Linked DNA regions of Stegostoma tigrinum. The protein of the gene in region 1 interacts with the protein of each later gene in a biochemical or structural test. Links are inferred from orthologs where the notes say so. Each region holds a gene or a part of one and is shown on either strand. Other genes may lie near its edges. The genes, in order: txnipa; solute carrier family 2, facilitated glucose transporter member 1-like.

Region 1 (15,497 bases):
GCAGTACTGCAGTGATTATCAACGGTTATAGATATTTTGATGAATAATGTATATTTTTGAAGTCATTGAGTGTCCCATAGTTGTATCCCAGTAATAATGAGTGCATTCGAACTATTCAACTATCAGTTGAGTGTCCAGAGTAACAAGGAGTGTGATTGAGAATGTATCCAAGTAACAGAGTATGTGTTCAAGACTATATGCTCTGCTGAGCACAGACTTGTATTGACTGGAAATTTAAGAAGTTCTTTATAGGTTATTGATTATCAGAGGTAACACTGTTAATCATTTCCTGCGGATCAATCATAAACTCATATCAAATTATTTGAAAGTTTCAATTTCAAATGGTCACATTGGGTATGTTTAAGAAGTATACATTTGTATGGCAGGGCTGACAGTAATAGATTATTGCTTACAAAGATCCTGCCAATAATTAACTGAGCAAGCAATTAACCTGAAGGCAAAGGGAAGTCCAGAATGCAATCGGACTTTGAACAAGTTCATGAGAAAGTGAGGTTGTCGTACAGTTGTAGATTTTGTGAATTATCTGACACTGAGAGTTGATAGCACAATTTTGAACACGTTACGTACAGTGAGACAAATAGGCCAGTCCTCGAGACTCCGACTGGGCATAAACAAGGCAATCACTGCTCAGAATGGTGCTGAGTGACTCATTATCATGTTTATCCTGACAATTCTGGCTTCTGAGACTGCAATGCTTGCATAAATACTTGCAGGGGCAAGGCTTGCAAGGCTGTGGGGCAAGAGCAGCAGTGAGACAGAAGTTGGGACATGATCCCTGAGACAGTGTCTTAGGTTCCTTTTAAATCTCTCCTCCTCTCACCTTAAACCTATGCCCTCTAGTTTTGGACACCACCAGCCTGGGGAAAAGACCTTGGCTACTCACCTTATCCATCCAACTCATGATTTTATAAACCTCTATAAGGTCACACCTCACTCTCCAACAGTCCAGAGAAAATAGTCCCAGCCTATTCAGACTCTCCTTATAACTCAAACCCTCCAATCCTGACAACATCGTTGCAAGTCTTCTTCCAACTCTTTCAAATTTCACAACGTCCTTCCTCTAACAGGGAGACCAGAATTAAATGCAGTATTCCAGAATGTTCTAACCAATGTTCTGCACAGCTGTACACGACCTCCAAACTCATTTACTCAATGCACTGACCAATAAAGGCAAGCAGACCAAACGTCTTCTTCACTATCCTATTTCCCTGTGACTCCAATTTCAAGGAATTATGAACCTGTGCTCCAAGGTCTCTTTGTTTAGCAACACTCCCCAGGACCTTAGCATTAAGTGTACAAGTCCTGCCCTGATTTGCCTTTCCAAAATGCAGCACCTCACATTTATCTAAGTTAAACTCTATCTGCCACTTCTCGGACCAATTAAGGTCCGACTGTACTCTGTCGTAACCTTCTTCACTATCCACTACACCACCAATTTTGGTGTCATCTGCAAACTTAATAACCATACCTATGTTCACAATGAAATCATTTATATAAATGATGAAAAGTAGCAATAGACCATTCTTAACAAATGTGCCACTGCTCTTTTAAAAAGTCTTTAATCTGAAGGCGCAATGGAGCCAAGAATATCTTCAAACATTGTGCAGATTTTTGTGAATGTAAAGTTATCTCTGAACTGGAGCCTCATAAATGGTCCAAGACTGAGTCAGCTCACAATACAGCTTCAACTTGTTCTGTACAATGAGATAGGCAGGCCACACCTTGATGCTTGTACTTAGCATAAACAAATCAATTAATGCTCAAATTGATGCTGACTGACAAACTTTCACTTCAAGGCTGTACCTTGTAACAGTGAGTGACCCAGAATCTATTCCAGTCATACAGCATCCCAGCAAATGGTTTCCAGAAACCGTGAGTCTGGAGACTGTACCCTAGTAATAATGAGTGCACACAAGGCTGTATCCCATTAACAGTGGTTATAGAAGGTGTTTAGCATGCTAGCCTTCATTGCTCAGGCCTTTGAATACAAGCGTTGGGATGTAGTGTTGAGGTTGTCCAGGACGTTGGTGAGGCCTCTTCTGGAGTACTGTGTCCTGCTTTAGGAAAGATATTATTAAGCTGAAAAGGGTTCAGAAGAGATTTGCCAGCATGACACTGGGCATATTGGGTTTGAGTTATACGGAGAGGTGAATAGGCTGGGGCTTTTTTCACTGGAGCGTAGGAGCTTGAGAGATGACCTTATAAAGATTAATGAAATCAGGAGGGGGTATAGATAAGGTGAATGGCAGATGTCTGTTCCCTAGGGTGGGGGATTTCAAGACAAAGGTTCATATTTTTAAGGTGAGAGGAGAAAGATTTAGAAAAGACATGAGGAGTATTTTTATTTACACAGAGCGCGGTTCGTGCGCGGAATGAACTTCCAGAGGAAGTGATATGGGGGACACTGACACAGTTAAAACATTTAAAGGACATTTATATAGGTACATAAATAAGAAATGTTTGGGTGGATATGGGCCAAGCACGGGCAGGTGGGACTAGTTTAGTTCGGCATGGACTTGTTGGACAAAAGGCCCGTTCCCGTGTAGTATGACTCTATGACTCTACAACAGTGAGTGACCAACAGACTGTATCCCAGTAACATTGAGTGCCAAAAAAATTCAATCCCAGTGACAATGAGTGTCCAACAGTCTGTATCATGGTGACAATTAGTGTGTTAGAGACTATATTCCACTAATAGTGAAGATCTCAGAGTTTATCCCAGTAACTACAAGTGTATGGACTCTGTGTCCTAGTAACAGATACTGTCTCAGACACTGTATCCCAGAAACAGGGAGAATCCCAAACACTGTTTCCCAGCAAACAGTGAGTGCCGAAGGTACTGTATCTCAGTGACAGTGTGTGTCCAAGAGACTGTATCCTAGTGACGATGAGTGTGTTACAGATTATTTTCTACTTATAATGAGAGTCCCACATAGAATCTCAGTAACAAAGTGTATTTGGAACCCTGTACCCCAGTAATAATAATTGTCCCATGGACAGTGACCCAGTAACAATGAGTTTAATGGAGGCTGTACAGCAGTAATCGAATGTCATAACGGCCAGAGCTTTCCAACAAGCACCAAGACATCACTTAGCTGCAGGTGTGAAGGGTACTACCTGTGTGAGATCCTTTTTGTGGACACAGACTCTCTGTGCCACCAAACACTACCCTCGAAGTGGCTGTGGGGCGTGGGGGGACTATCACAAGTCTCCTTCTGGAATGTGCCTTTGCAAAGGAAGTCTGAAGTGAGATGCAGTGGTTTTGTTGAGGTTTATCCTGGGCAGCTTCGTGACACTAGGACTCTGTTGTTCGGTCTGTTCCCCAGGGCACACACCGAGACAAACATCGACTGCTCCTGGAAGACCATCAACAGGCACACTTTGGTGTGCCCAAAACTTGTTGGTCTTCCAGATCAAGGAGTTGACCTCAACTGTGTGTTGCAGATTGGCACGTTCCAAAGTCCAGGATTGCATGCTGAGGAATGCACTAAAATCTGGGGGCGCTACTACCAAGGCACACTGAGGAAAGACCACCATCTAAGGTCTTTTTGAAGTTAAATGGCAAGGGGGTGGATCTAATCTGTTATCAGACCCACCCTGTGCCTCAAATGAATTTAAATATGGTACTGTCCAGGTAAAGAATGCCTTGGGTTTGTTTGTTAGATAACGTCAAACTCCAGTGTTTGTTTCTTCATAAGCACTATGCAGAACTGATCTGCTTTAGTGACTGTGTGTATGTAAAATATATTTTTGAGGTAATTGAGTGTCCCATTGTTGTATCCCAGTAGATTTGAGTGTGTTCGAGACTGTATCGCAGTAACAGTTGAGTGTCTCTAGAGACCCTAATCCAGTAACAAGGAGTGTGATTGAAACTGAGTAATAGAGTATGTTTAAGACTGTATCCTCTGCTGAGTACAGACTGTTTGGACTGGAAATTTGATAAGTTCTAAATAGACTATTGATTATCAGAGGTATATAATGTCAATCATTGCTTGTGGATTAATCATAAAACCGTGTCAAGGGATTTGAAAGTTTCAGTTTCATCTGGTCACATTGGGACTGTTTAAGAAATACACATATAGTTGACAGTAATTATTGTTTATTGTTTACAAAGCTGCTGCCGATAATTAATTAAGAAAGTAATTAACCTGAAGGCAAAGGGAAGTCCAGAATGCAATTAGACTTTGAACAAGTTCATGAGAAAGTGAGGTTGTCGTACAGTTGTAGATTTTGTGAATTACCCGACACTGAGAAAGTTGATAGCACAGTTTTGAACACGTTACGTACAGTGAGATAAATAGGCCATTCCTCCAGACTCCGACTTGGCATAAACAAGACAATCACTGCTCGGAATGGTGCTGAGTGACTCATTATCATGTTTATCCTGACAATTCTGGCTTCTGAGACTGCAATGCTTGCATAAATACTTGCAGGGGCAAGGCTGTGGGGCAAGAGCAGCAGTGAGGCAGAAGTTGGGACATGATCCCTGAGACAGTGCAGTGCAGGAAGTGCTCATTTGGTTCTTTGTGTTGGTATGGACCTCTCTCATCAGTCCCAACACCCCAAAACCTTGCTCCTTCCCCCACAGGCCATGCCCACTTAGGAGTTTCACTGATTTGCCCCTCTTTTGAAAGTTCCTCTTGAATCTGCTTTCATCACCCTTTTAGGCAGCGTAGCCCAGATCACAAAAATACTTTGTGTCTAACTGTTCCTGTCTCTCAGGACCTACAAATCCTCATTGATCTGCGCCCTTCATAGCAGACGAAAAAGTTTCTTCTAATCAATTCAAATGAACTCACTTCACAATTTCGAATGCCTCAGTTAAATTGCTCTTTAACATTCTCTGACCTAACGTCAATCATCCACTCAAATTCTCCAGTCTGTCCGTGTCGCAGGCTTAATAGTCTGAAAGTCCTCAATATGTGCTGTGAGCTTTCTAACATTCTGTTAACACCTTCCTCCATGGTCCTATTCTGGTAAATCTCCTTCCACTCAGTCTGAGGCATTAACAGTCTTCCAAAAGCACAGGATCCAGAATTGGACACATTTCTGCATAATGGCTGAGATTTTGTCCCCAGGTTGGAGATGCTCAGTCTTCAACCACTGACAAGCACAGCTGAACAAACTGTTGGTCAAGGGTGATCGTATCTCTTGGGATCAACCTCAATTTTGATTTGGCAAGGATCTGAACAAAACCCTGCATGGCTGGCAATGAAAAATATTTTTACATCAGAAAAGGACCTAGAGTAGGCCACTTTAAGTCTGCTCTGCCATTCAATAAGATCATGGTTAATCTGATTTTAACCTGAATCTAGATTCTTGCATATCCCCGATAATCTTTCATCCCCTTGGTCATCAAGAATCTATATACCTCTGCCTTAAAAATATTTATAAATTCTACATCTAGTCTCTTTTGATGGAGGGAATTCCAAAGACTCACAACGCTCCATGGAAATAAAATGTATCATTATCTCTGTTCCAACAGAGCAACGTTTTTTTTCAACTCTGGCCTCTAGTTCTAGATTCTCCCACAAGAGGAAACATCTTTTCTGCATCCACCACCGCCCAACACTTTCTCGTTATTTCACCAGTCTGATGCAGGCAACAGAGAGCAAAGACCAAGGAACTGGAAGGTTTTTGATTAAAAATAAAAATCACAGAGTTTCAGGACAAAACAATTTGAACGTTTGAAGGAACGGGTCAAGCTAGATTGAGGACTCCATCCCCTCCCTCCAGTTCCTCCTATCTGATCCAGCCTCCCCTTCTGACTCTCTTCACTCCCCTCACCTTATCTGCCCCCTCACACTCTCCAAATTAAACAACCACCCCATCTCTTTACCCTGCATCCCTCTCCCCCAGTCTCCTCCCTCCCCTAATGTCCCTGTACACCTCTCCAGCCTCTCCCCACCTCATTCTCTCCCCGCTGTCCCACTTCCATTTCTCACCATACTTCTCTTTCTTCCCTGTCCTTTTCTCCCCATCCCTTTCTACCTCCTTTCCCAAAATTCTGTTGCTTACTGCGCCCACCCGCTCTTCCCTCTTGTCTCCCCACCCTCTACCACCACTGTCTCCTCCCCTGCCTATCACCTCTCTCTTTATTCCCCCTCCTTTCTCCCCTCGCTTTTACTCTCTCCCTCTCTACCTTCCTCACTTTCTTCCCCCCCCAGCATCTTTCTCCCATTCCTTTTCTCCTCTATATGTCTCCCCACTCATTCTCTCTCTCTCCCCTTCCTTTTCTCCCCCTCCCTATCTGCCCCACCATCTCCTTTCTCCCCGTTTTTCTCTCTCCTCACTTTGCCCATTCCCTTTCTCCCCCTCTATCTTCTTTATCTCTCCTCACTTTCTCTCCCCCTTCTCTTTGTCTGTCCCATCTTCTCTCACTCTCTATTCCTTCTCACTTTCTCTTCTCTCCTTCTCTTCTCCCTCTCCCCCCCTCCCCTCACCTCACACTCTCCCCTTTTATCCTCTCTCCCTATCACCCTCACTTCCTCAATATTCCTCCCAATCTTTCCCTTTCCTCTCTCTCCATCCTCCACACTCACTTTATACCCTACTTCTCTGTCCATCCTATCCCCACTTCCCAGTTTTTCTCTCCCCTCTCTAAAACTTTCTCTCCCTTCCTCTCTTTATCCCTTTCTCTATGCTCCTCACTCCCTTTCTCCATCCTCACTCTCTCTATCCCTCACTTACTCCTCATTCTTTCTCACACCCCTTCTATTCCACCATCACTGTTCTCACTCTTTATCCTACCTCCAACATTCCCTCTCCCTCCTCACTTTCTCTCTGCCCTTCCTACTCCCTTCCTATTCCCTTCCTACTCTCCACCCAAGTCCATCTCTTCCTCCACTGCCTCTCGACCTCCTCACTTTCTCTCCCTCCCTCTGTTCCCCCATTCCCTTTATCCCGATCTTCCCCTCTCATTCATTCTGTCTCCTCACCCTCCCTCCCTTCCCCTCAACACTCCCATTCTTTCTCCACCACAATTCCTCTCTGCCCAGCACTCCCTCTCTCCCTCCCCCTACACTCACTCCCCCTGCACTCTCTCTCTTCCCCCCAAACACCCTCTCCCCCCTCCATACTCCGTCACCTGACTTCTCTCCCCCTCCACACTCACTGACCCCCCAACTCCCTCTCTCCCCACTCCCTCATTACCTTCCCCCATTGCCCCCAACTATTTCTCACACACCCCACCCTCTTCTGCCCCAACTCCCTCACACCCACCACCCTCTCTCTGCCCCATCCTCTTCTCTGCCCATCACATCCCGCACTCCCTCTCATGCCCCCCCGCCATTCCCTATCTCTCTTTACTCCCCTCTGCCCCCATTTTCCCTCTCCGTTTCCTCACTCTCTCCCCTTCAAAGCCCCACCCTCCAGGTATCGGGGTTTTTGCCGTGATGTGGAGGTTCCCTTCTCGAACCGGGGTGGACACGGTCAAAAGTCACAGGACACCAGGTTATAGTCCAGTAGGGTTATTTGAAATCACAAGTTTTCACAGCGCAGCCTCCTTCATCAGGTGAAGTGAGAGAGGAGCACACAGAATTTATGAGCAGAGGGATCAAGGGCAAAAGATCATACAAATAGTGTGAGTGGAGTGTTGAATAATAAATCCAAAGTGTTAGATGGTGTGGGTAAAGTGTTAACAGCTAACAAGGGATAATGTATAATCCGATTAAATGAGGTAGAGAGATAATTACAAAAAAATTAAAATAAAAGGAGACAAACTAAATAACTTGAATAACATCTTAGGTATAAAAATGGCAAGCCGATTGTCTAACGAAAGCAATAAATTATCCAAAACTTTTTGCAACACGCTGACCTCATCCTACCATCGCTCACCCGAAACCGAGTGTAACAATCCCTCTGTCCAATGGGATGGCGGTTGCTGGCGGCTGCGGACAGTGATTGGCCGCCAGGCCCTGCCGGCCCCACCCACGGGCCGGGGCGCCGGAGATCAGGTCCTGTGCACGCGGGCCGCCGGCGCTCCGATTGGCTGCCGGCCGGGTAAACAAGCAGCATCGGCCAATGGCAGCGGCGAGCACGCGGCGCGCAGGAGGAGGCAGGAGGAATGGCACGCGCGGGGGCGGTTGGAGGAGAGCGACGGGGGAAGGGGGGCGGGGAGAGGGCGGGCGGGGGCGGGGCAGGGGCGGGTGAGGGGCGCGCTCAGTCACACACCGACCGACTATTGGTGCAGATAGTGGGAGGGGGGCGGAACTGGGGACAGATCCGACAGCGATTGGTGGAAACGACGGGGGGGGACGGCCGTTGGGAAACGGGCGAGCACCGTCAAAGCTATAAGTAGAGGCGCGGTGCGGGTACGCAGAACAGATCGAACTCACACAGTGACAGCGGAAGAAAGGATTTATCGCTGTGATACAGCAAGAGGTAGTAGCCAAGCTGGACGCTAACATGGTGGTCAACAAGAAGCTCCTTCCCACTTTTGAGCTGGTCTTCAGCTCGGAGCGCACCTACACGGCCGGCGACAAGGTGGCCGGGCGGGTCCGGCTGCAGACCGCCCAGCCGCTGAGGGTCACCGCCGTGCGCATCGTCGCCCTGGGCTACGCCCGAGCCCAGCTCCTCAAGGGCTCGCAGCCCCTGCGCCAGCAGCAGGATTACCTGCACTTCCAGGAAACGCTGCTTCCGGATGGAGAGAACCGGACCTCAGGTGAGAGAGAGAGAGAGACTTCCGGTGGGCTCAAGGATCAACTTCCGGTTATAGGGGAGCTGGTGGGGGTCAGAGGTCAGGTCCTGTTTATGGGGGGCGACCCTGGGGTTTGGGATTGGGTCAGGGTCCCGTTTAAAAGTTAAATACTGCTGCTGGGGGGTGGTCTTCATCATCAGACCCGTATTTTTTGGTGGGGGGGAGGAATCAGGCTCCTGTTTAAAAGACAAGTTGCTACTGGGGCAGGGGGGCTCAACAGGCTCCTGTTTAAAGGGGGAGCTCCTTTTGGGGGGGGTGGGGGTCAGCAGGCTCCTGTTAAATGGGAAATATTTGGAGATGGGCAGCCTCTTCGTTCGAAGGAAGGAAAGGGGGGGGGGTGGATTTTGTTCAGTCTCTTGTTACAGGAGCCATGGGATCCTTGCTCCTTTCAAAGGATAAATGGGTTGTCAGTTTCTGGTTTTTCTGTGTTGTTGTTGGCCTGTTATAGGGGAGATCTAGGGTTCTGTTAACCCAGACCACCTTGACCCTCTTCACGTTAAGAGGAAGTTAAAGCATCAGTGCCCTGCTAATTGTGTAGATGTCTGTCTATTGTGGTGGAGACGATGGTGTTTATCTGCTCCTTTTAAAGGCAGGATGGTGTTGGTTAATGTACTGTTAAGAGTGGTGGTGGGGTGGTCAACAAGTTATGTAATTGGGTGTACGCTTGTTTGGGATCAGGGCATTCTGCAGTGCGTGCACCCATGGTTGGGTTGGATGACCGTCTGCATGACTTCACACACTGATGACTTCCTCTTATCTTGTGCAGACATTGATGGATCTATGTTCCTGCAGCCTGGCAAAATGTACGAGTACAGTTTCAGCTTCCAGATACCAGAAGGGTAAGCTACCTTTATTCTTACCTGTTCGACCCTGTTGTGCCATGGTCGCACATTTTTGGCTTGGATGATGCTGCCATTGCAACTCCTAATTGTGTGGCTGTTTTTTTGACAGGCCCTTGCCCCCCTCGTTCAAGGGCAAGTATGGTGGTGTCTGCTACCTCGTAACAGCATATGTTGATCGGGAGAAGCAGCCATCCCTGGAAACCAGCAGGGACTTTGATGTGGTCGAGCCCATTGATGTCAACACGCCAACCTTACTAGTGAGTAATGGGTAGCAGTTAATGTAAATGCGAGGCTTAGTGCTGAATCAAATGACTCTACTTAGCATCATCCTAGTGTTGAACTAGGGTAAGTGTCAGTACTGACATAATTAGAGGTTATGAGGTAATACCAGAGTCACCCATTGAAGACAGATGGGAGGACTTTCTTCTTTCAGAGGAGAGTGAATCTGTGGAATTCTTTGACAGAGGATAGTTGAGGCTATTAAATATATTCAAGGCTGAGATAGTCAGATTTTTAATCAGGAAAAAGGGGAAGAGGCATGAAAGTGGAGTTAATGATCAGATCAGCCATGATCTCATTGAATGGCAGAGCAGACATGACAAGCTGAGTGGCCCACCCCTTACTGTCATAGTAGCTGCATTGCTGTTGGCTTGAAATCTATCTCAAATGTCAAACTATATTTTCTGTGTTCCTTTCAGTCCCCAGTTGGTGGGTCCAATAAGAAGAAGGTGACTTGTTTCTTCCTGTCTGATGGTTACGTGTGCATTGCTGCCAAGATTGACCGGAAGGGTTACTGCCAAGGTAATGGTCTTGGTCTGTTTTCTGGCTCCGTGAACTGTCAGCTTTTCTTGGTTTGTGACAATGCCATGAATCTCAACAACACTTTCCTTCCTTTTTGCCAGGTGACCAGATCTGCATCAATGCCCAATTCCAGAACAATTGCTCACGTATTGTGATGCCCAAGGCAGCCATCTTGGCAAAGCAGACCTACCAGGTGAGCGGCAACACCAAGGTCTTCAAGGAGAAACTCAACAGTGTCCGGGGGAACCACATCATCTCGGGGATGTCTGAATCCTGGTGTGACAAGTGCCTGCAGATCCCCACCGTGAAACCATCAATCAGCTCTCACATCATCTGCTTGGAGTACTCCCTACTGGTGAGTGATGGGCAGGATGTTGCAACTTCCTGGGTGTGCCACCTCTAGTGTTGCCTGTAGTTGACCCATGATGTGGTGTGATTCCTCAATGAGGAGAGAAGGCGAGGTGCTCACAATCATGAGGGGTGGGGACTGCACTTCAGTTGGGTGTCTATCTCTAGGTTTATTCATTGTTCCGCCTTCCGGAACACTCTAGGGTAGTTTTGACACTGTTGGGATTAATAAGAGGGTTCTTTTTGAAGTCTCCTGTTTGATGTTGCTTTGTTTGAATGACTGATGTTCTCCCTCCCCACAGGTTTATGTCCACATTCCAGGCAGCAAGAAGCTGGTCCTTGAACTCCCTCTGGTCATTGGCACCATCCCATACAATGGCATGAACAGCCGATCATTCAGCAATACCAGCAACTGCAGCAGTGTAAGCAGCAGCAGCATGAGCTGGCCCCACATGGAGTTCCCGGAGCAAATGGCAGGTAAGGGCTTGCAGGTACACTCCATGGCGGCATCTGGGCCTGGCTATGTGGGGGCAGTGAGCTTGCAGAGCTGGTTTTCCTATCTGTACTGGCTGACTGATCTGGAATGTTTCCTTTGCAGCCAGTCCTTTCCATGTGTGCTCTGCGAGTCACTGTCTGGAAAGCCCCACCACTCCCTTGTTGGATGATTGTGATGGCCTGCCAGAGAGTCCCATCTTCATGAAGTCTGCAGTGTTTAGCTACGGGTCATCGCCGGTCAGCTCGGATGTGAGTAAGACAGTGCCAGTTGAGAATTGGTAAACTTTCCCATCACCTGAATCTGACATGGGCCTAATGATGAATTTTCCCTTCCTTTCTCCCCACAGGTGGATGAGAATGGGAACTGCGAGTGCATGGTTGAGTGAAACTGCAGAGTCCTGCAATGACTTTTTATAAACACAGACTTGGACTCCAGTTTAAATCACCGTATGCGTTTTCAGATGCACTTAACGGGGAGGGCCTGCAGGAGCTGGGCTGCGCCAGCGAGAAAAGGTCAAGGAAGAGGTAGTGTGTGCATGCATGAAGGTCTCGACCTGTTGCTGACTCCCACCGTGAGATGGTCGAAATTCCTAGAGTTACGTCATGCCACTCAGTAATCATGGGGACACTCTGTACCTGTACTGAGCTGAAGGAACCTGGCTTGTTTTGTGAATGAGGGGAGCTACATGTTGTGCAGTTACAGATTTACAAATAATATTGTTTAAATTGTTGATTGCCATTTCTTTCTGTTCTCCTGAAGAATGTTTGATATCTTTTTTCCTTAACTGATAGGGCAACACAGATATTTCACTGCTTTGTGCCAGGCTATGGACTTGTGCGCAAGGTGGCAGATGATTATGGCCATCTGAGGTAACTAGTAAACCATACCTTAGCTGGTTGAACATGGGGCAAGCACTGAGTGTATACCCTTCCTCCATCAGTCAGTCCCTGTTTCTGCCATCGTCTGGCTTGAAGGAAGATGCTAGTCTAAGAAACAGAATTTGGTCATTCCAGATATCCTGAACAATTCTCTGTTGGAAGAAATGCTGCCAAACTTTGCATTTTCACTGCAGTATTGTCCTGGCACTTATTATTCTGATTTGTTTCTTCACATTGCCTTGTACCATCATCGGCAGCATTCTGCTAATCAAAAAGGGCATTACTTGGTACCTGTTTTTAGGCAGAGGTTTATTTCTTTGGTAGCTTTCTGTTTGAAGGTCAATAATTGCTGACATTCTAAAACAGCAAGCTTCATGTTGTACAATTTGCTGTTTTTTTGTTTTTTTAACAAGCAAGAAACATTTCAAAACACTCCACTCTGCTGTTTGTATAACATTTCCAGTTTTGTGTAACTTTGTACTGAGGATGTGAATCCTGTGTTTCTTTTTTCCCAAGTCTTCCCATAAGTCTTCTGACTATCTGAGCTCATTGGGGAAATATATCTCAGTCTAAAGTGTTGTTTTGACAAGGATTTTATTCAAATATTTTTGATTTTCTAAAATTCTACTATGTGGAATCTGCCAAATGTTATTTTGTGTATTTTTCTAAGCTAAGTATTTTATTTTGTAAGTGTGATCAATTTTGAATAAAGTTTTTAAGTATTTTACAACATACGACAATTGTTGGACATTTCTGGAATGTGTAGTAAGGTTTAGTGTTTCCCACTGGTAGCTAATGGCCAAGCCAGCAGGATGCTTAATGTTAGAGACTCGGCCTCCTGCCAATACTCCTGGAAACCTCATACTACTTTGCATCAGTGGGAGATTGCATGTCTCTCGTGCTTGTTTCCAGTTCCGCTGGTGTAAAATTTTACACTAACCCATTTATGCTGGAATCCACCAACATCAGCTTTCATCTTTGAAGACCCAGTTCATTCATTCTACTCTTAGCTCCAGACATGCCTCCAAACAAGGCAGGAGCTGACACAAGACGCAATTGGGAAAAGGTATCATTTGATGGTCTGAGTGCTTAGTGTGCATGGGCTCAATCCTACTTTGAGCTGCTTGGGGTGGGGTAAGACAGGGTAGGAGGTGTGGGAAATGTGAATGTTTTGATACTCCTCGACCATTTGTGTCAGCTGGCATTGAATAATAACCATGCAAAATTGCTGCTTTGTTGATTTGCTTAATATCTTTCAGGGACAGGGGTCTGCCACTCCTATCCTGCATGTCCTGACTGAGGTCCTGTAAAATGAGAACAAAGGGCAGTCCCACAAGATTCACTGCCATCCAACCATTCATCTGACTTAATTGATTCCTTTCAGAATCCTAAAAATGTGAACAAAATCTCCCCATCTTTCACGTGCCAGATCATCAAAAGACATCCTTACATGAAAGGAGGCCATCTGGCCCATATGTTCTCTCCTTCCCAGTCCACTGACCCCCGCCCCCCCCCCCCCCCCTCCCCACACACACACACACACACACACACACACACACACAACACTGCCCATCTAGCACAACTACCCGTCTAGCACAGCAACTCCAATAGTCAATAGACAACAGGTGCAGGAGTAGGCCATTCGGCCCTTTGAGCCAGCACCACCGTTCCTTATGATCATGGCTGATCATCCACAATCAGTATCCTGTTCCTGCCTTATCCCCATAACCCTTGATTCCACTATCTTTAAGAGCTCTATCTATCTCTTCCTTGAAACTATCCAGAGACTTGGCCTCCACTGCCTTCTGGGGTAGGGCATTCCATGTATCCACCACTCTCTGGGTGAAGAAGTTTCTCCTCAACTCTGTAAAATAGTGTCCCAACTCCCTGCCCACCCACTTCAGATAATTCTCCAACCTTCTGCTGAAAGCTTCAATCAAATCTTCCTCCACCACACTCTGCAATATGTAGCTGTTGATTATAATCAGTATCCATTGTGTCACTCTGGGTCTGGTGGTCCTTGCACTTCAAACCTCCAATGGTTCATGTATCTGCAGAAATGCTCTTTGGGGAATTTTGCATGCTGAGCCCTTTGTCCATTAAGTTGCTATGTGCTCTATCCCACTCACACTCTTGCAGTTCACCTGCCAATGTGGGCCATCCCACACAGTTGCTTGGTCCGAGCAGGTGACGGATGTTTTGCTGAACTTGCCAATATCCTGGTGCTCTTTCCCAGCATGAGTCTAAAGAATTCCCCTCAAGTGAAGGTAGTATTCCAATGTTAATTATAACCTGCTTGCTCTGGAAAAGCAGTTCCATCTCCTGAAATAAATTATCTGTTTGTGAGATGATTGAATGTGATTGGGATCTGGAAGAAAGGAATCGTTGGAGAAACTCAGCTGGTCTGGCAGTATCTGTGGAGAGATAGCAGAGTCAACATTTCAAGTCCAGTGACCCTTCCTCAGGACTGGACCCATGACATTGATTAAAAACGAAAAGAACAGTGGATGCTGTAAATCAAGAACAAAAACAAAGTTGCTGGAAAAGCTCAGCATGTCTGACAGCCTCTGTGTGGGGAAAACAGAGTTAATGTTTCAGGTCCGGTGACCTTTCATTAGGACTGAGGAAGTTCTGTCCCAATTTTTGTCCCATCCCTAATTGCCCAGAGGGCAGTTAAGAGTCAAATCAAACATGCCACTGAGAGTCTGGAGTCACAAACAGGTCAGGTTGGGTGGGGATGACAGATTCCTTCCCTAAATGAGATTAGTGAACCCAATGTCTTTTTCTGCCGTCAACAATGGTTTCATGGTCATCATTAGCTGCTTAATTCCAGATTCTTTAAACCTGGATCCCCAGAGCATTAGCTGACTTCTCCAATGGCAGTCTGTGCTGCAGAATTCCACAGATTCCCTAAACCCTGAAATCCAACCTTCCCTGAACTGCCTCTGATGCCAGGAGAGAACTGCAGACAACATGGACTGATGGTTTTTGTAATTTGCATTTTTAAGTTCTAGGATCAACAATGATCACATCATAGCTGCGTACTCCATGAAGTAGAAGAAGTGGGGGAAGCGATGGCCTAGACTGTCAATCCAGAGACCCAGACAACATTCTGGGATCCAGGTTTGAATCCTGCCACAACAGATGGTTGAATTTGAATTCAATAAAATATCTGGAATTAAGAATCTAATGATGACCATGCATCGATTGTCAGAAAAACCCATCCAGTTCACTCATGCCCTTTAGGGAAGGAAGCTGCCATCCTTACCTGGTCTTGCCTACCTGTGACTCCAGACCCACTGCAATGTGGATGACTCTTAAGATGCCCCCTGGGCAATTAGGGATCAGGCAATGAATGTTGTCCAGCCAGTGATGCTGGAAAATAAAGGAAAAACAAAAGTGGTCTTTGTGTG
Region 2 (14,991 bases), on another chromosome or scaffold:
GGCTTACTCACCACTGCACCAGGTTCACGCTGGGATCCCTCACTCCAACCTCCAATGCCATCCGAGCTCAGGACAAGGGGTAAGTAATGGACAAGGGAAGAAGAAACAAGAAAAGAGAAGAAGAAAGAAAAGGAAAGCAGAGTAGTGGAGAAGCCCCCGCTTAGGAGCCCTACTCCACCACTATCTTGATGTCAATTCACTGAATATACTCAAGAAATAAATAGATAGAGTTCTGAAAGCTAAAGGTGTTCCAAAGTATGAGGGAGAGTGGGATCATGGCATCGAGGTAGAGGATCAGCCATAATCATGGTGAAGAGTGGAGCACGCTCGATGGACTGATTGGCCTCCTCCTGCTGATGTTTTCCAGGTTTCTGTGAGGCCTTATTTTACAAGGAGCTCAAAACACAAACAGTGTTCTTTAAATCTTTACTTCAGGAATCTTGCAGCCTGCCAGTGGGACATCCCCAACATTTCACAGCTACAGTTACAAGTGCATGTCATGTCAGGGTGAAACACTCTATCATTTCCTGTATGATAATTGCAGTATCATGGAGAAGGAGCTGGTTAACATGTTGACTCATGATCTGATGGGGCAAGATTAAGGGAAGCTGAGGGGGATGGATAGAACATGCAGCCAGAACGAAAGGAATGAATAAATATTACTGCCCTTGAGGAGACACTCAGACTCCTCTGCTGAAATCTCAAACCAATCCCCTCTGCATTAAGATAACCAAGTGTGAAGCTGGATGAACACAGCAGGCCAAGCAGCAACTCAGGAGCACAAAAGCTGATGTTTCGGGCCTAGACCCTTCATCAGAGAGGGGGATGGGGAGAGGATTCTGGAATAAATAGGGAGAGAAGGGAAGGCAGAACGAAGATGGAGAGAAAAGAAGATAGATGGAGAGGAGAGTATAGATGAGGAGGTAGGGAGGGAATAAGTCAGTCCAGGGAAGACGGACAGGTCAAAGAGGCAGGATGAGGTTAGTAGGTAGGAAATGGAGGTGCGGCTTGAGGTGGGAGGAAGGGATAAGTGAGACGAAGAACAGGTTAGGGAGGTGGGGACAAGCTGGGCTGGTTTTGGGATGCAGTGGGGGAAGGGGAGATTTTGAAGCTTGTGAAGTCCACATTAATACCATTGGGCTGCAGGGTTCCCAAGCGGAATATGAGTTGCTGCTCCTGCAACCTTCGGGTGGCATCATTGTGGCACGCAGGAGGCCCATGATGGACATGTCATCTAAAGAATGGGAGGGGGAGTTGAAATGGTTTGCGACTGGGAGGTGCAGTTGTTTATTACGAACCGCGTGGAGGTGTTCTGCAAAGTGGCCCCCAAGCCTCCGCTTGGTTTCCCCAATGTAGAGGAGGCCACACCGGGTACAATGGATACAGTATACCACATTGGCAGATGTGCAGGTGAACCTCTGCTTAATGTGGAAAGTCATCTTGGGGCCTGTGATGGGGGTGAGGGAGGAGGTGTGGGGGCAAGTGTAGCACTTCCTGCGGTTGCAGGAGAAGGTGCCGGGTGTGGTGGGGTTGGAGGGGAGTGTGGAGCGAACAAGGGAGTCACGGAGAGAGTGGTCTCTCCGCAAGGCAGACAAGGGTGGCGATGGAAAAATGTCTTGGGTGGTGGGGTTGGATTGTAGATGGCGGAAGTGTCGGAGGATGATGCGTTGTATCCAGAGGTTGGTGGGGTGTATGTGAGAACGAGGGGGATCCTCTTGGGGAGGTTGTGGCGGGATGTGTTGTGGGAAATGTGGGAGACGCGGTCAAGGGTGTTCTCGACCACTGTGGGGGGAAAGTTGTGGTCCTTGAAGAACGTGGACATCTGGGATGTGCGGGAGTGGAATGTCTCATCCTGGGAGCAGATGCGGTGGAGGCGGAGGAATTGGGAATAGGGGGTGGAATTTTTGTAGGAAGGTGGGTGGGGGGAGGTGTATTCTAGGTAGCTGTTGGAGTCGGTGGGCTTGAAATGGACATCAGTTTCTAGCTGGTTACCTGAGATGGAGACTGAGAGGTCCAGGAAGGTAAGGGATGTGTTGGGGTTGGCCCAGGTGAACTTGAGGTTGGGGTGGAAGGTGTTGGTGAAGTGGATGAACTGTTCGAGCTCCGCTGGGGAGCAAGAGACGGCGCCAATACAGTCATCAATGTAACGGAGGAAGAGGTGGGGTTTGGGGCCTGTGTAGGTGAGGAAGAGGGACTGTTCCACGCAACCTACAAAGAGGCAGGCATAGCTTGGGCCCATGCGGGAGCCCATGGCCACCCCTTTTGTCTGTAGGAAGTGCGAGGAATTGAAAGAGGAGTTGTTGAAGGTGAGGACGAGTTCGGCTAGGCGATGAGGGTGTCAGTGGAGGGGGACTGGTCGGGCCTGCGGGACAGGAAGAAGCGGAGTGCCTTGAGGCCATCTGCATGAGAAATACAGGTATATAGGAACTGGGCGTCCATGTTGAATATGAGGAGTTGGGGGCCAGGGAATTGGAAGTTCTGGAGGAGGTGGAGGGCGTGGGTGGTGTCACGGACGTAGGTAGGGAGTTCCTGGGCCAGGGGGAAGAAAATGGAGTCCAGATAGGTGGAGATGAGTTCGGTGGGGCAGGAACAGGCTGAGACAATGGGTCAACCAGGGCAGGCAGGTTTGTGGATTTTGGGAAGGAGATAGAAACTGATCACCATCTGCATTAATACCTCTGATATCCTTGACGTTCAATTGTGCAAAACATGATTGAGATTTGCTCAAATTGTTTTAAATCTCTCTGTAATCTCATTTTTCCCTATTTCCATAATCACATCCCACCCCCCAATCCTCCAAGGTCTCCTTACTCTTCCAATTCTTACCAGATGGTCATCTCTCCCTGATGACTATTGTATCCTCAGCTCCTACTCTGTAAATTCTGAAATACTCCCCAAGCCTCTCCATCCTTTATTCACTCACTCCTTCTTTAAGAAGCTTTTTAAACCTACTTGTTTGACCCTGTCCTAATCATAAGACCATAAGACATAGGAGTGGAAGTAAGGCCATTCGGCCCATCGAGTTGACTCTGCCATTTAATCACAGCGGATGGGCATTTCAACTCCACTTCCCTACACTCTCCCCATAGCCCTTGATTCCTTGCGAGATCAAGAATTTATCGATCTCTGCCTTGAAGACATTTAACTTCCTGGCCTCCACTGTGCTCCGTGGCAATGAATTCTACAAGCCCACCACTCTCTGGCTGAAGAAATGGCTCCTCATTTCTGTTTTAAATTCACCCCCTCTAATTCTAAGGCTGTGCCCACGGGTCCTAGTCTCCCCGCCTAACAGAAACAACTTCCCAGCATCCACCCTTTCTAAGCCATACATTATCTTGTAAGTTTCTATTAGATCTCCCCTCAACCTTCTAAACTCTGATGAATACAATCCCAGGATCCTTAGCCGTTCATCATATGTTAAACCTACCATTCCAGGGATCATCCGTGTGAATCTCCGCTGGACATGCTCCAGGGCCAGTATGTCCTTCCTGAGGTGTGGGGCCCAAAATTGGACACAGTATTCTAAATGGGGCCTAACTAGAGCTTTATAAAGCCTCAGAAAAACATCGCTGCTTTTATATTCCAACCCTCTTGAGATAAATGACAACATTACATTCGCTTTCTTAATCACAGACTCAACCTGCAAGTTAACTTTTGGAGAATCCTGGACCAACACTCCCAGATCCCTTTGTACTTCTGTTTTATGAATTTCCTCACCGTTTAGAAAATAGTCCATGCCTGTATTCTTTTTTTCAAAGTGCAAAACCTCACATTTACTCACGTTGAATTTCATCAGCCATTTCCGGGACCACTCTCCTAAACTGTCTAAATCTTTCTGCAGCCTCCCCACCTCCTCAGTATTACCTGCCTGTCCACCTAACTTCCTATCATCGGCAAGCTTCGCCAGAATGCCCCCAGTCCCTTCATCCAAATCATTAATATATAAGGTGAACAGCTGCGGCCCCAACACGGAGCCCTGTGGGACACCACTCGCCACCGGTTGCCATTCCGAAAAAGAGCCTTTTATCCCAACTCTCCGCCTTCTGTCAGACAGCCAATCCTTAACCCAAGCCAATAGCTCACCTCGAACACCATGGGCCCTCACCTTGCTCAGCAGCCTCCTGTGAGGCACCTTATCAAAGGCCTTTTGGAAGTCTAGATAGGTAACATCCACTGGGTTTCCTTGGTCTAACATACTTGTTACCTCTTCAAAGAATTCTAACAGGTTTGTCAGGCATGACCTCCCCTTACTAAATCCATGCTGAGTTGTTCTAATCTGACCCTGCACTTCCAGGAATTTAGAAATCTCATCCTTAACAATGGATTCTAGAATTTTACCAACAAGCGAGGTTAGGCTAATCGGCCTATACTTTTCCATCTTTTGCCTTGATCCTTTCTTAAACAAGAGGGTTATAACAGCAATTTTCCAATCATCTGGGTCTTTCCCAGACTCCAGTGATTTTTGAAAGATCACAACAAAGTCTCTGCTATTTCCTCAGCCACCTTCCTCAGAACTCTAGGATGTAGCCCATCGGGACCAGGAGATTTATCAATTTTTAGACCTTTTAGCTTTTCTAGCACTTTCTCTTTTGTAATGCCTACCATACTCAACTCTGCCCCCTGACTCTCCCTAATTGTTGGCATACTACTCATGACTTCCACTGTGAAGACCGACGCAAAGTACTTATTAAGTCCTTCAGCTACTTCCTTATCTCCCATCACTAGCCTTCCAGCATCAATTTGGAGCGGACCGATATCTACTTTTGCCTCTCGTTTGTTTCTTAGGTATTGAAAGAAACTTTTACTATCATTTCTAATATTACTAGCTAGCCTACCTTCATATTTGATCCTGGATGTGAGTTTGCTCGCTGAGCTGGAAGGTTAGTTTTCAGACGTTTTGTCACCATTCTAGGTAACATCACCAGTGAGCCTCTGGTGAAGCGCTGGTGTTATGTCCCGCTTTCTATTTATCTGTTTAGGTTTCCTTGGGTTGGTGATGTCATTTCTGACCTTCCAGCTCAGCAAGCAAACTCACATCCAGAACCTCAACCTGAGCTACAAATCTTCTCAAAACTTGACATTTGATCCTCTCCTTCCTTATTGCTCTCTTTGTTATCCTCTGTTTGTTTTTGTAGCCTTCCCAATCTTCTGATTTCCCAGGGCTCTTGGCCACTTTATAGGCTGTCTCTTTTTCTTTGATACATTTCCTGACTTCCTTTGACAGGCATGGCTGTCTAATCCCACCCCGGAAAATCTTTCTTTTCTTTGAGATGAATTTCTGTACTGTGTTCTCAATTACATGTATAAACTCCTGCCATTGTTACTCTACTGTCTTCCCTGCTAGGCTCTGCTTCCAGTCGATTTTCATCAGTTCCTCTCTCATACCCCTGTAATTACCTTTATTTAACTGTAACACCATTACATTCGATTTTGCCTTCTCTCTTTCAAACTGCAGACTGAACTCTACCATATTATGATCGCTGCCTCCTAAGTGTTCCCTTAGTTTAAGATCTTTTATAAAGTCTGGCTCATTACATAGCATTAAGTCCAGAATAGGCTGCTCCCTTGTGGGCTCCATCACAAGCTCTTCCGAAAAAGCCATCCTGCAAACATTCCATGAATTCCCTTTCTTTGGATCCACCAGCAACATTATTCACCATTCCCACCTGCATATTGAAGTCCCCCATAATCACCGTGACCTTGCCTTTCTGACATGCCCTATCTATTTCCCAGTGCATCTTGCGTCCCTGGTCCTGGTTGCTGTAAGGAGGTCTGTACATAACTCCCATTATGTTTTTTTTTGCCTTTGTGGTTCCTCAACTCCACCCACACAGACTCCACATCCTCTGACCCTATGTCATTCAGTACCGTATGAGCTACGAGCATTTAGATAAAGTGCCTTAATGCTAATTTTAACACGAATTTTCTCTCAAAAATGTGATGATGTTAATGGGGTCATCCAGAGCAAGAATAATTAACCAGGGGATAGTCAATGTCAATTGCATAAGAATGGATCTGGCTCAGAATAATTGGAATCAAAGATTAGCAGCAAAACAATAATTGAATGCTGCGTTGCCTTTATTGAAGAGGTATATTCCTGCAAAGAGGAAAGCTAGGACAAACAAGTTAAGAGCTCCCTGTATGATAAAATTGGTTGAAATTAATACAAAGCAGACAAAGTGTGTCATATGTCAGATGTTGATTAGAGAATATCATTGTGATCCAGGCTAAATTCAGAGGTTTCAAAGTAGAACTGAACACACAAACAACAGAAGTAAAGAGAAATTAAGAAAAAAGACTGGCAGCTAAAATGAAAGGGATCCGAATTCTTCTGTTAACTTATAAGTAAGAAAAGAGAGGAACTAATGAGCAATCAAAATAAGGTTTACACATGGACACAGGCAGCATAACTGAGGTATTAACAGGATATTTTACATCTGTCTTCACCTCAGAAGACGATTTTGCCCAGACCATGAGGTTCAGACACTTGAAAAGCTTAAAATTGATAAGGAGGGCATATTCAAATGGGTGAATACATTTGATGTAGATAAGACACCAGGAGTGATTGTGATGTATCACAGATATGGAGCCAAACTGCTCACCATATTCCAAATGCGATCTGACCAGAGCCTCATACAGCCTCAGCAGTACATCCCTGCTCCTGTATTCTAGCCTTTCTGAAATGCATTTGCCTTCCTAACAGCCAGGTCAACCTGCATGTTAACCTTAAGAGAATCCTGAACTAGGTCCACTAAATCCCTTTGTGCTTCAGATTTCCAAAGTCTTTATCCACTTAGAAAATAGTTAATGCCTTTACTCTTCGTTCCAAGGTGCATAACCTCATGCTATCCCAGATTGTATTCCATTTGTTACTTCTTTGCTCACTCTCCTAACCTGTCCAAATCCTTCTGCAGCCTCCCCACTTCCTCAACACCACCTTTCCCTCCATCCATCTTTGTGCAACACACCCTCAGTTCCTTTGTCCAAATTGTGAACGTAAAATGTGTGGTCCCAACACTAACCCCTGTGAAACTGCACTAATCACTGGCTGCCATCCTGAATATATATACACAAGGGAGAATGTCCTTTAATTGGTTCAAGAGATAGCTCAACAATTTGGTGGCATTCTGGTCATATCATTTCTATACTATTAGTTCACCGTCTACAATTACACCATGGATCATGTGCCCGAAATGTCATGGCTCTGTAAAAGTAAATTGTACCTGATGCCATTTTCTCTAACATTCCCCTGCTCTTCACTCCAAAATATTCTGGCTCCTACATACTCCTAGCTTTCCAACTCTCCATCTCCATCATTTCATCCCGTTTCCTATTAAGGATGGTAATTTATGAAAAAATGGCAATGTTCTAGTGCATCTTAGCAGTGAAAGGACTTGCCCCATGTCACCACTTTTACTCTCACAGCCTTGGCAACTGATTGAAATCTGATTACCAGATCATTCATGTCTTCAAATTCAGCAAAGTCTAAGTAAACAATGCGATCACACGCATCTATGCAACTTTCGGGGCAAATGATCACTTGGGTAAATATGAATTCATTAGGGAAAGTCAACATGCAGTTGGGAAGGGAAAATCATGTTTAGAAAACTGACTGGAGCTTTCTGATGGGTTATCAGAGAGAATTGATGAGGACGATCCTGTGGAATTGGTGTACATGTCTTTCAGGTGCTATTTGACAAGAGCGAGCGAAACAACTTGATTCAGGACGAGCATCTCACACCGTGATAGGGGCAGGATCATTGAATATTTTGGGAGTCAGGTAGATCCTTCACGAACAGGGTGAAGGTGGTTGGGAGGGGGTGGGAAATTGGGGGTCGAGTATGGAGTAATCAGATCCTCCATGATCACATTGGATCGTGGAATAGCCTCGATGGACCAAATAGCCCACTCCGGCTGCTAATTGAAATGTTGAAATAGTCTTTGGTGCACAATTCATGGAGTACCTGAAGTTAAAACAGATAAGTAAACTGCAGCGAAGTTATGAGAAAGTTTTGGTGTCTGGTTTACACTCGGGATGTTTGCAGGCTGCCCAGTTCGGATCAGAGTCTAACCTGGGAAAAAGAGGGACGCAGAGCCTGTGCTCTCCCTCCAATTCAGGGGAGCCAGTTCCTGGGTCAAGGTCCTGCCGTCCATAAATATATTGTACAATGACTTTCAACAGCTAACACTCACTTCGAAAAGTTCATGTGAGTTTAGAAATGGAAACGGCTCCTGCCAATGGAGACTGAGCGTGACTGTAACAGGATCTGCCGTGGGCTGGAACCTGCATCACTCTGGGAGGTGGGACAGCTGCTCGGTTATTTGGGGGGGGGGGTGGGGTGGTAGGATGCTGTCATGGCTACTGGAGACTATTCCGTGCAATCCTCAGCAAATGGTAAAGTGGCAAGCCCATCACACACCCCTCAGACGTCACCCATTGATATCCAATCCCATTCAAAGCACACACACAAAGAGCAGTTCGTTGCTTGGAGCAGGATATTACATGAGCGTTCGAGGAGAGACAGAGACACATACATACAAGGAGGTTCCAACACAGGGAGATGACTTTGTACCTTATCACAGATATCTGAAGAGGATTTGCTGTGAGGACTTACTGCGGGGTTCAATCATAGAAGACTTTGAATAGCGTGATCAAAGGACATCACCCAAGACCAAACTACAGCCGTCAACGGATCCTTCATCTGTGTGACAACAGCATGGCCACAGACAAGGTATGGTTTATGGAACGCACTGTGTCTTATTGGGGTCCCCCCCCCCCCACAACAACACGGCTTTAAAAAGCGGTGACCACATTCTCCGGACAAGCCTTTAACCGGTTTGGAGTCCTTCAGAATGGAAGATTTTGCAATTCGAAAGAAGCTGGAATTTAATGCATTTTCCTTTTAAGGCAGTTGGTTGGTGTGTTGTAGTTTGTAATGAGGCCGGAGAACGGGGTAGTTAGGTAGCAGAATGATGGAGGTCAGCCACAGAGAGTGCTGGAGGAGCTCAGCAGGTCGGTGGAGAGAGAAGCAGACTTCAACATATCGAGTCTGATGTGACTTCCCGAAAGCAGCAACAACTGAAAGAAACGCTGTGATTGCTGGGGCAGTGCTAATTATGTTTTACACTCTCTCACTCTCTCTCACACTCTCTCTCTCTTTCTCTCACACACACACGCTGGGGGAGGGAAGGATGGAACAGAAAAGGCCGTGTGACCAAAACAATGGGTACAGCGCGTGGTTTTAACCGTGCAGAACCAGACACGTTATTTTTACAGAATTCACAGCATGAGGAAATGCTTTAACGCTGTCATTGAAATGTTTGTCTCTCCGATTTAAAAACAGAAGCCTGGATGTTTAAGGCTTTTCTGGGAGGTAATGCCCGGGACAGTGAGGCAGTTTCAGATGTAAAACCAGTTCATCATTAATCTCCACCCTCAGCTACAGATACACCTTTAAGAGTTGGGCAGTGTTTTAAAATGGGTTCGTGTCACACTAACTGGAAAAGGGCAATAAGTGTTAAATATCTGAGTGAATTTCCGCCAGATTTGACATAATTAAAGTTTACCAAGAGCGGAGCTGTAAAACCAAATGTTAGTGCACATCCCCAGCAATCGTTGAGTTCAAAATGTCTCCTTTGTGTTTAAATACAGCTCGGCCAGATCCAAAATGGTTCGTGTAGCTAAACCAGCAGTCTGCTTTCAAAGCTTATCAATTATTTTACATTGTAAATTCCGCCACGGGACGTGTTGTAGGGGGTGGAAATGTTGCAGTTTCGACCCCCTTCCCCCGATAGCTCAGGAGCTAGTCTCAGACGCCCTCCCCCCTCCGACTCCCGATTGTTTAGGAGGTCTCAGACCCCCCCCCCCCCCCCCCGACTTAGCTCAGTAGTTCTCAGGTGAAGCTGCTGCAACAGGAATGTGTACATGACCCAGTGAACGTACAGCTCAGCCTGGGGATAGCAGGCTGCTAGTTTATGATGTACTTTTATGGTGGGTTTCAACAATCTGCAACTGCACTGTCCTCTCTGGGATAGTTAACACTTCATATGCACCCTATTCTCAAACCCGTTGGCCATTTATTACATTCTAACACCAGACTCTGTGTGTACGTGCCTGTTTGCATCAAGCAAATATCCCAAATTAAATCACCAAATTTCGAATAATCACGCCTTAACTTCCGCATCTAAAACGATTTAATCGTTTCCAGCATTAACTGAATTTCCCATCTTTGGGGTTTGGGGGTTGCTATTGGCGGTGGTATCTCCGTCATGTGGAGGGAACGAAAAAGCTTAAGTGCTTTCACCGATCTGCTGTTGTAGCAACAGAGAATATCATAAATTCTTAATCAGCAAAATTCACAAACAACTGGACCAACAAAAAACCCTCATCTTCATTCAACTGAAATAACTTGGCAAGACACCAGAAAGGTGTTAAAGCAACAAAAAAGTTTTGGGATGTATGTCTTGATGAAAATCAGCATTTGAAAGTTATACCAATTAAAAATTATTTGGATTCCACATTTCCTCTAGAAGATGGGGTCAGCTGTATCTTCTTGTATGATCAATCTATGATAAGTGCTGTGTTAGCAGGGACCCATTCAAAAACTTTGCGCAGAGTTGCTCAGTAATATTCACAATGAATGTTTAACATGGCTCATTAGTTTTTTTGCATTCGTTAAATGCAACGTTTTGTTGCATCTTTTTAAAGGGATAGAAACATAGACAATAGGAGCACGAGTAGGCCGTTCGGCCCTTAGCGTCTGCTCCACCATTCGGTGTGATCATCCAACTCCGTCCCCTGTTCCTCTTTCTCCCGTATCCTTTGAACCCTGTAGCATTAACAATCCTAGGAATTATCTTGGTCGCCCCTAAATGCACCTGGTTAAACAATCAAAACTGTTCAATGCTGTTGAGCTGTTAATAATTTTATTCCCAAAATGTAGCCAACAATGTTATTTAATGTAAGGAATGCAGCTAACCTACACACACACACGTGCACACATTAGAGTTTTAAATCAGGAACTGCAAAAAGATTTGAGGAGAGTTAAAGTGCCAGCAAGGATAAGCGAGAACAGAGTAGTGAAATAAGTGCCCCGCCAGTTTTCAGGGTGGCATTTGTAAGCTGATAATGAGAGATAGAGACTTTATACAATATAACAAAGTGTGAAGCTGGATGAACACAGCAGGCCAAGCAGCATCTCAGGAGCACAAAAGCTGACGTTTCGGACCTAGACCCTTCATCAGAGACTTTATACAGACTTCCCCATATACACACTACTGTTTCTGATACTTGTTGCATGCCCTGATTTTATGAAATGCAATCTTCACACAATTGCATGGAACTAGAAGATGGTGACTGTGTGTGTGTTTTTCCAGGCTGTACATACATTAGAAGTGATGGGTGTGGAGTGTGAGACAACAGGCATTTGAGCTGTAGGTTGATCCTTGCTAGTCTGCTCTTGTTCACACTCTGTGATTCATTGGATAGCACTCTCACCTTGGAGGTAGAAGATTGCAAGTTCATGTTCTATGACAGAGACTTGAAACTATTTTCCAGTCTGAACCTGTAGTGCAGCACTGGGGGAGTGTTACAGTGGCAGAAATGCCATCTTTCAGATGACGTGTTTAAACTAAGGACCTCTCTGAACTGAAGATGGTGTAAAAGATTGCTGGACAATGTGTTTCAAGGAAAATCAGTGGACCCCCCACCCATGGCTGAGCCAATGTTTACCTTTAAAACAACATCAGATGATCTGCTCATTGTATTGCTGCTATCTGGGATCAAACTGTGCACAATTTGGCTTGTGTGTTTCCTATATAGCAATAGTATAGTAATTTGGCTGGGAAGCAGCCTGGGTCATCCTAAATTAGTGAAATGTGTTAAATATATCCAAATATTTTCTTCTACTGCGTCACAAAAGTGTTTGGATCATCAGAAAAATGATCACATGGGAGACATGTCATACCAAGCTACTACCCTGGGAAGTCTCTAAAAAAGACCCAGTGATTTCCACAATTAGAACTATGAAGCAGTTTGCTGTTTATGTAACATGTCTTGTGATTTTTAAAGTGCTACAGACCTGAGTGACACTGAGCAATATCAGACTGCCTGCTGCAGGAAAATCACTTGACTCGCTCACATGCAGGACACTGCCAAGGTTAAAAGGATAAGATAAATCAGGAGCCTGAGATTAAGTGATGTTTGAGAACTTTATTTGGAACTGTTACTTCATGCAGTATTAAATAAGTCTACTGGGTATAGTGATGCAGCAATAAAGCACTGCGCAAGAGAGATCTTTAATTGCCAGAGGGTTTCCAGTAGGAAATTCCTAGTTTTAGTAATGAAGTTGCTCAGTCTTATTAACATGCAAATGATGTTGGAGTAACTGTGGAATTCAGTGTATTTGGTGAATGGTGCAAGTGTGTACTGGCAATATAAGAAGAGAGTTCCCACAGGGGTGGCAGTTTTATGTCAGTAATAGGGATTGTGAGACAGTAGGTAAATCAGTGTCCACACGAACTCCTCCTGGACCCTGGGCATGTCTTACCCACCTTGTTAGTTTCACCGATGCCTCCAGATTTGCTGTTGCCTGGTGTCAGAGACAGGCAAGTATCCTCACTGGGGCTGAAGTTAAAATTAGGATCTAATGTTGCACCCAACTTTGATCGAAATTATATGAATTTTGCACCCATCAGCTTTGGTTTGTTTAAAAACACTGGTTAAAATTAGAGACAGCAAAGCCCCTGGTTGAGTGCCCCAGGTTATTATGTGTCCATGAGCCCAGGTTCTGCCAGAAAGGTCAAGTTTAAAAAAACTTACCTCTTCCCTCTCAACTTCTCAGAAGTTGTTTTGATTTTTTTTCACAAGTCCTCATTCCTTCTTCCGGAGCTTGGAATTTATTTTGCTGAATGTATTCTCCATAGTTGGGTATAGAAGCCCCTAAAACTCAGTAGAAAGTGAGTCTCTCCAGTGACGGGCTCCAACTCTCAATTCGCAGAATTTAAGCTCCATGCCGTGTATCTGGGATTCTGACTGTTTCAGAAAACCTATGGAAATAGAAAGAACAATAAGGCATTATTTACGTTATGAAAACAGTCCAGGAGAGGCAGTAGACAAATATAGACTCCTGAAATTTTTTGTCTGCTGCTGGCCTATTTATTTTTCTTCCCACTCCTGCCCATAATTAAGGCAACAGTCACGCAATTTCGTTGGTGAAAGTGAGGAAACCTGGCTTTACAATTCAAGGTTAACTGAAAACATGAAAAGAGCTCACATTGTGTGCTTGTGATATGTGGGTGATGCTGATTGCATTAATTTCCTGTCTGTAGCTGCTGACATTGAGAAGGTGATGGTGAGCTGCCTTCTTCAATGGGGTGTAGAGGTGCACACATGGTGCTGTTAGGGGGGGAGCCCCTTCTGAGATTTCATTCATGGCCCTGACTGGTTGTGCCCTTGAGATAATCAGCACTGGCTGCCCGTAACCACAGGCTTTACATGTACAATAACTCTAATTACCCTTTTGATATAACAAAACCTTCCGAGATATCTCAGGAGAGTGTTATAAGCTAAATATACTACATAAGTATATATTTGATCTGATGACCAAAGCTTGATGAAGGAATTAGATTTGGAGGAATAGCTGAGTTGTCGGATGTTGTAGTTGTGGGATTCCAAAGTTTCTGTTGTCAGCAACTGGAGGCAAGAGTAGACCTATCCATTAGTATGGGAATCTTACAGAAATGTAGATTTGGAAAATTAAAGCACAGCATTTTTGCTGCACAATGTAAGACTATGTCTAGGAAACGATAAACTTGTGGTATTATCACTGGACTGTTCACCCAGAGAATGTGTTAATTTTTCCATAGAATCCCTCCAGTGTGGAAATGGGCCATTTGGCCCAACAAGTCCACACCAACTCTTTGAAGAGACTTTCTCCTTTTCCACCCCCCCCCCCCCCCGCCCCGACCCCAATCTTATCCCATCCCTGCAATTCCCCACCACTAATCCACCTAACCTACACATCCTTGGACACCTTAGCCAAACCGCCTACCCTGTACATCTTTTAGACTGTGGGGGTTTGCCAGAGCACCCAGCAGAAATGGGGAGAATGTGCAGACTCCAAACAGACAGTCACCCGAGGCTGGAATTGAACCTGGGTCCCTGGCACTGTGATGCAGCAGTGCTGATCACTGAGCTATCATGCCACCCCATGCTATGTTCTGGAGACCCAGGGTTCAGATTGTGCAAATGGTGGAATTTGAATTCAATGAAAATCTGGAATTAAGAATCTACTGATGACCTGTAAAACAACGTCAATTGCTGGAAAAACCCCATCTGGTTCACGAATGCCCTTTAGGGAAGGAAACTGCCATCTTTACTTGGTCTGGCCTGCATGTGACTCCAGACCCACAGCAATGTGGTTGACTCCTAACTGCCCTCTGTGCAATTAGGAATGGGTAATAAATAGTGGCCTAACCAGTGATACCCTCATTCTGTGAATGAATATAAAGAAATTTCCAGCACTTGGCTGGTAGCCCTGAATGCTGTGAGGTTTCAACTGCTCATCAAAATACTTTGCAAATTGGCTTGGATATTTTGACCAAGGAAAAAATGTTCGTCCGCAATGTCAACATTCTTTTGGTCAACTGTAGTTCAAGGCATTCTGAATCCTTTTGAATTATGACTTTAAACTGAAGAGAGACCTCTTTGAACCACATGTCCTCAATGACCTTAGGTTTAAACAGGGAAACCTGAATCTCTTATGTTTCTCGCTCTTGCTCTCGATCAAGATGTTGGTCACCTAGTACCTCCTGATAGGAGTAGTGTTCAATTCCAGGTTGGGCTATCAAACTAAAATTATAAAAAATCTTTGGATCTATTTTTAAACTGCTAACACTCGGCCTCCTACCCGTTCCAGCACAGCTAAGAGATTCTTCCCCCACAATGTCAGTAACCTACATTTTGTATAGTGCCTTTCGATTAGGTGTTCC

The links.
Region 2: the proteins of txnipa (region 1) and solute carrier family 2, facilitated glucose transporter member 1-like form a complex in vitro, tested with the Homo sapiens proteins (2 studies listed by BioGRID). The link is inferred for Stegostoma tigrinum from reciprocal best matches to the Homo sapiens genes TXNIP and SLC2A1.

Annotation. Positions count from the first base shown.
Region 1 is NC_081400.1:7,695,307-7,710,803, reverse strand, and holds txnipa (thioredoxin interacting protein a), read left to right. Parts: upstream 1-8,331; 5' UTR 8,332-8,427; coding exon 8,428-8,683; intron 8,684-9,485; coding exon 9,486-9,558; intron 9,559-9,670; coding exon 9,671-9,818; intron 9,819-10,259; coding exon 10,260-10,362; intron 10,363-10,463; coding exon 10,464-10,717; intron 10,718-11,012; coding exon 11,013-11,187; intron 11,188-11,308; coding exon 11,309-11,454; intron 11,455-11,552; coding exon 11,553-11,591; 3' UTR 11,592-12,816; downstream 12,817-15,497. UniProt on the Homo sapiens protein: May act as an oxidative stress mediator by inhibiting thioredoxin activity or by limiting its bioavailability.
Region 2 is NC_081381.1:10,221,802-10,236,792, reverse strand, and holds the start of solute carrier family 2, facilitated glucose transporter member 1-like, read left to right. Parts: upstream 1-8,470; 5' UTR 8,471-8,717; coding exon 8,718-8,732; intron 8,733-14,991. UniProt on the Homo sapiens protein: Facilitative glucose transporter, which is responsible for constitutive or basal glucose uptake. Has a very broad substrate specificity; can transport a wide range of aldoses including both pentoses and hexoses.